Xenopus tropicalis: one gene and its partner. The protein of the gene in region 1 binds, or shares a complex with, the protein of each later gene. Links are inferred from orthologs where the notes say so. Each region holds a gene or a part of one and is shown on either strand. Other genes may lie near its edges. The genes, in order: raf1 and rap1a.

Evidence for each region.
Region 2: the proteins of raf1 (region 1) and rap1a are in contact, whole or in part, in a crystal structure (PDB 3KUC), measured with the Homo sapiens proteins. The link is inferred for Xenopus tropicalis from reciprocal best matches to the Homo sapiens genes RAF1 and RAP1A. Residues at the interface, in NP_001341619.1 of Homo sapiens: Thr57, Arg59, Asn64, Lys65, Gln66, Arg67, Thr68, Val69, Val70, Lys84, Lys87, Val88, Arg89, Gly90; in NP_001010935.1 of Homo sapiens: Val21, Gln25, Ile27, Val29, Asp33, Pro34, Ile36, Glu37, Asp38, Ser39, Tyr40, Arg41.

What each region holds. Positions count from the first base shown.
Region 1 is NC_030680.2:153,469,328-153,471,847, reverse strand, and holds part of raf1 (RAF proto-oncogene serine/threonine-protein kinase), read right to left. Parts: intron 2,156-2,520; coding exon 2,037-2,155; intron 1,476-2,036; coding exon 1,344-1,475; intron 373-1,343; coding exon 238-372; intron 1-237. UniProt on the Homo sapiens protein: Serine/threonine-protein kinase that acts as a regulatory link between the membrane-associated Ras GTPases and the MAPK/ERK cascade, and this critical regulatory link functions as a switch determining cell fate decisions including proliferation, differentiation, apoptosis, survival and oncogenic transformation.
Region 2 is NC_030678.2:59,474,027-59,477,856, reverse strand, and holds part of rap1a (ras-related protein Rap-1A), read right to left. Parts: intron 3,198-3,830; 5' UTR 3,165-3,197; coding exon 3,108-3,164; intron 2,089-3,107; coding exon 2,020-2,088; intron 196-2,019; coding exon 139-195; intron 1-138. UniProt on the Homo sapiens protein: Counteracts the mitogenic function of Ras, at least partly because it can interact with Ras GAPs and RAF in a competitive manner. Together with ITGB1BP1, regulates KRIT1 localization to microtubules and membranes.

The DNA of each region.
Region 1 (2,520 bases):
CCTTCAGGCTGGGCCCCCTTAGCCCATAACAAGGTTACAGATATATAGAAACATTGGGGTAACAGTCACCCCGCTATAGTTCCAGGGGTACCCAGGGCACAAATACCCACTCACCCCAAATCCCCCCCTAACTGGCCTTCAGGCTGGGCCCCCTTAGCCCATAACAAGGTTACAGATACAGTACCCAGACATTGGGGGGCACTGTACAATAGAGCAATGCAGGTCTATGCACCTCACCTGAGGGAATAGGGGGCGCTCCTCCCGCATTTTTTTGATACAATCGGCCACGAGACGCTTCATTGCCTTGGGGCAGTTCTTGTAGAGCTTACTCAGGTCGGGGACCGTCCCTCCTCGTCCAACCAGAAATATTATCTAAGAGCAAAGGAAAGAAGTTACTGGGCTGTGAGCAGTGGCACAGGAGAGGGGTAAGTCGTATCCAGGAAGGGTAGGTAGGTAGGTAGGTAGGGGGTGCTTCTCAGCAAGCAGAGCCAGAAGCCTCCTGAACAAGTAATACATTAGGAATCCATCAGGGGTGCTGGGAGTTCCTAAATTAAATGTTTCCTTTTAAAAGGAACCTTGAAGGGGGCAGTTGACCTTTAAAGGGAAACTAAACCCCCAAATAACGTAACTCCCGTGCTTCATCTAAAGAAACCATTTTCATACAGACTGGTGTGTCCGCCCCGGGCACTATACCATTCACAGGGCACACACACAGGCTAGGCCACATCAGCCAATGAATGGGCAGAGATCGGTCTCTTATTCCCACACTACTTCCTGTCAGGTGATCTCTGGGGGAGCACAGCACAAAACAGGGGGGCAAGGGCAATGTTTATGGGTGTTAGGCAGTTTGGGGAGTCTGTCACTGGCCCCATATTATGATATAAACGCTCTGGGGGCTCAGTGTGGGGGTACAGTGTTCCTCTAAGGAAACTTCTACAATGTAATTGATCAGGTCCCACTCTTAGCAACTTTTCAATTGGTCTTTATAGTTTTGGAAAGGCTTTCCTTTTCTGCCTCTTTCCAGCTTTCAAGTAGGGGTCACTGACCCCGGCAGCCAAAAGCCTATTGCTCTGTGCGACTCCAGTTTAGACCTTTTCTTTACATTCAGTCCTATTCTTATTCATCTCCCAGTCACATCACTGCCTGGTTGCTAGGGGAAATCTGACCCTATCAACCAGACAGCTGCTAAAATTCCAAATTTGAGAGCTGCTGAAAGTCCTAAAATCACAATAAATACAAAATAAAGGCCAAATGCAAATTGCCTGAGATTATTACCGTATGCACTATAATAGTCAATTAAAGGGCAAGTAGTCCTTGATGCGCACAGTGTAGGTGTCACTCACCTGGTCCCTGTCCCTAATGTGGGAGTAGGGCAGCTCCCCGGTCATAAGCTCAAACAGCACGATCCCATAGGAATAGACGTCCGACTGGAAGCTGAAGGGGTTATTGTCCTGCATGCGGATCACTTCTGGGGCCTGTGGGGCAGACAGGGGGCAGTTTAACTACAAACCTTGGGCATTTAGTGGTTAATGCAGTGGAACATACAGTAACTATGGCATCCACAGGTGGGGGTGCCTTAAACCTTGTGCCCCCCAAGAAGGAAAGGCAGCCTCTGATTCGTCACAGCCCCTAAGTAAAAGGAGAGACAGCCCATCTGCTTGGGGGCGTGGCCAGCAATTCCCCGCCCCATATTATGAATGTGACCTAAAAGCTCAGTCCTAAAAGTAGATGCAGAAACCCAGTGACACAAATGGAACAAATAATCCTGTGTTTATTGGGTAGAAATGGGCCCAATATCTGTTCTGCCCCTGTAAGGGCCACATCACAGGGCAACTATATCCAATCAGAGGCAGACACAGCTCAGCCCCCTCTCTCCCATAGGCCAGATACAAAGAATGAACCGCCACTCTCTAAATGCTCCAGGTAAAACAGAAGCCCCTCCCAGTGCCCCTCCCAGTGCCCCCATATGAGCTGTACCCGGGCAGTCCCTACAAGTTGCCCACAAGTAGCCCTGTATTACAGAGCCCCATCCTTACCATCCACAGTATGGAGCCTGTCGGTTGCTCCACCTGCTGGGAACCGCTCCACCTGCTCTTTACCGTGGCCAATCCAAAGTCTCCGATTTTCACGGTTAACCCCTCATGGAGAAAGATATCTGTCCAGCGAATCAAGGCCCACAACTGAGCTCTGACAAGGTCACATGCTGCACAGTGACCAATGCCCAGTCACAGGAGTCATTACTGGCTCCGAGCGGGATATCATGGTACCCAAGTACATAAGCAGAAAGTAACTGCCCCCCAGGCACCAAACAACTGCTCCCCCATCCTGCCCCACAGCACCCAAGAATTACCTGCTCCCTGATAAAATATCTATAAGGGGGGCCCGCAGGATTAATTCAAATGTGATTACATGTTAAAGGTGACCAACTGCAACTATTCCCACCAACAGCAGCCAATGTTCCCCCACCCCCCTTTAGCTGGGGAGATCTATGCCCCAGATGATGCCCCAAGTAGCCCCCCA
Region 2 (3,830 bases), on another chromosome or scaffold:
TCTAATCATTTGGCTACCCAAGTCTGTGCAGACTCATCAGACAAAGAGCACAATGTGGCCCTTGCATTGATTAGGCAAATACAGCCTATTATAATGCCAAATTAATTTTAATTTTTGTTAGAAAGAAAAATTCCTTACTGTTCCAGCTGTATCAAGGATTTCAAGCATACATTGCTGTCCTTCCACTTCCACTTGCTGCAATTCAAACAAAATGCATCTTGGTTAATTTCAAACATTATGTAATACAAGACTTCACAACAATAATATTTTTATACTAACTACAAGAAATAAAAAAATTATAAAGATTTTTTTTTTTTATATCTGACCAAATTATGAACAGTCTTGTAAATGCTGCTATTCATGTAGTAGGTCTTTTCATATTTGCTACAGCTTTAAGTGAGTGCATTAACCCTTTGAGTGTCACAAATGGAGAAATCTATATCGCTGTACACCCCACATTCGCACATCAACTTACATCAAACTAAAAAGTGTTTCTTTTTAGTTACAATAGTGTGCATAGCTTTACAGATATTTTTGACAGGGGGCACTATACACCTATGTATACTATAGGAGTTCAAATAACAGGTTAAACATTTTTTAAATTAAGAAATGCACCGGCCTAGAGAAAAACTGACACTAAACTGCAATCTTACTTGGGCAGCAAAATGTAAAATAGCTGTGCAGTGTCAGTTTTTTCCCTTAAATGCACTGATGTAAGGGAAAAACAGCTCTTTAATTTGTTCTTAATGAACACAGGTGTATATTGTTCCTTTTATGTTTGAAAAAGTTGTAGACATTTTTCTACTTGGGTACCTCCTATTACACCATGGCCCATTATTTTAAAGTCATGCATTCAAGTCCAAGGCTATGAAATGAGGCATTCCGACCGTCTGCTTCTAACTGAAAAGCTTGGGAAGAGCTCCGCCTTTGGAAGAAGTTGGCACAGCATTTCCATTGTTTTTTTTTTTTAATCAAAAGCAGTGACAGATTATTTCTGTGTGAAATTACACTATTCATTAAAATTACTTGCATTGAATGACATTTGCATAGTTGCACTGTGTCTGTCCTGCCTCCTATTGTAAATATGGCACATGCACACCTACTGATGTTGGGTTCCCAAAGCAGCTAGCATCAAGAAGCACAATGTATATGCACTAAATCATGTACAGATATTATTTTGACACTGAGCACTACCCCCACAGACTTGTGTTGAAATTACATGGCGAGTACTTGTCATGCTAAAGGTGCCCAAAAATGCATCAGTAGGCTTTTACAGACAGCTGACTTCTGACAGAGAATGACAAAAGGAAGAGGCTGAGGTCGATCAGTATCTACTTAATGTGAATATTTTAGATAAGGACCACTGATCATGCTTAGCTTTGTACTATACAATGAGAAGTAGAAGATATAGGAGGGGCAAGCACAGACTCTCTGGAAAGCCGAGGGACTTCAAGTCCCAGAATTTTATATTTCAACAGGAAGTGGCTGACTCTGCCAGCCTAAGATGCTGGAGTGGGGAAATGGCATCTGTGAGTTGAAGGCTTCCTCTCAGTTTGTGGCCATGTGTCTTTTATTTCCTTTAACACAGAGGTGAACAAGTAAAAGTTGCCATACACTGGCAGCTTTTGACCTTGGAAACTTGTTAGCCCATGTATGGGGCTTACCAACAGCCTACCCGACCAATATCTGGTTGGTTTGATTTTCCTGTCGGTGTGAGGACCACATCCGCATGGAGCTATGTGGATAGAGGCTGGCTATACAATGGACAAATACAAAAGCAAAAATACAATATATAAAAGCAAATAAACTATATACAAAGCAAATAAGCAAATTTGTTACAAAAAACAAACAAACTGTAGAGGTACTGGAAAGTAAATTTAATGTGAATGAGAGGTATGCTTCCTGCTTCTTTAGGTGGAAAATAGGTAATATTTTAAAACTAACAATTTATTTAATGTAAAGTAATAAACACTAATACAGAATATGTAAACATGTTAGTACATTTAAAATAGGTATTACCTTTCTGTATGAATCTTCTATTGTTGGGTCATACTTTTCCACAAAAATACCTTGAACAAACTGGACTGTCTGTAGAGAAATAAAATGTATGAAGAAAATTACACAACAGACATGTTTAACCACATCACCTGCAGCAGCTAAAAATAAACCCCATTAACTGGGGGCGGGGGATATCAGCCATTTATAAAATGCTGGGGGTACAAGCCAAGGAGCATCTCTCTGTGCTGGGCATCTTAGAATTTAATTTTGCCATGAGAGCTTTACTAAACTACACCTTATAGAACAGGTGTTCTGGTGTGAGGACCATGAACATTTCTTGTGGCAAGTACAATCTCTAGATCTGTATTTCAGCCCACTGCTTAAAGTTTTGCAAAACTAAAGTGTGAAGTAATTTCAGCTATGAAATTATTACAACAACCCCTCTTACAAACAACTGGAATTTTTGTCTATTATAGTCTATTCTTTCATCTTTACTTTATTTTACAATACAACACAGGCCGTATCCGAGCTTTTATTAAAAGGTAAATATTGTGTAAAAACGAGAATGTGCCAGTGCATTATACTTGTCTAAATACTGAAGAAATGTGCTTTAAAAAATGTGTGTTTCCTGCTTTTTCTGGATGTGCAGGGGGACCGGCAGCACTCAGCACTGTAGGATAGGAATCAGCAGGTAAGTGGACCTGATAGGGAACTTAAGCCTGTATTGTGTGACTGCAGAGCTGTGATTGGCTATCCTCCTCCTATAGCTCTTTTGGCAGGGACCATTAGAACACGCCCAACTCCTTATATGAAACATCACAGGGATGTAGCAGATCTATAGAAACTCCAATAAAGGGTTCGTTTTTAAGGAAAATGATCATTTTAAGCCCAGAGTGAAATCAGCACCATATATTATTCATTACTGCCTACAAGTTTAGGGTGGATTTTCATTTAAGCTATACGTCTCGTTAATAATAGGCTACATCAAACCATGATAGATATTAACCTATTCCCCTTTAAAGAGTAATTATTTTTATATGGGCTAATTGGCTGTATTATGTAAGTTAATTATGACATGGCCAAATATACATATGGAAAGCTCAACTTACCAAAGCAGACTTTCCAACACCTCCAGAACCAAGGACCACGAGCTTGTACTCGCGCATGATGGGATTATTTTTGTTTCACAATAGTGTAGTCTAGAGATGAAAAAACAATGTATTTAGTTTTAGTATTTTAGGAGCTTACAGCACGTACAGTAAAAGTCTAACATTTTGTGAGAAAAAAAAAAAAACAACCACCCTTCTGCTCTAGAGGATTTTAATGTGTTGCTTAGACAAACAGAGCGGCTTTCACTGCAAAAATCCTTGGTCACGTGCATGTCTGACATCCATTCCATGTATTAGCACCTAGGCTGACAGTGCCTGTGGGTACAGACGAAGGGCAGCCAGAGGAATCAGCTCCATGTGGAACTAGCCTTAGCTTTGAAACCTCTTATTGGACCCAGATTAATGTAACTTTGATAAATAAGTATACTTTAAAGCTGCAAAGTAGTTGAAAATAGATGAAGTTCCACTTGTTTCCTTCACCATTTCACAAAATAACTCCTTATGAAACAGAAGTCCTGTGTTGATAGCTGGATTTTTTTTTTTTAACAACTGACTGTACAAGGAGGAAAAAAGGGACCAAGTCGGCAACCTACAGCTCCACACAGCTCACTCCAATAATGATCATGTAAGTTAAACAACTGTCTGGCATAGGCTGTACTGGGCTACTGCTGGTAAGACAGACAGAAAAAAGTGAGAAATAAAGAAATCCATAAAAATACGAAA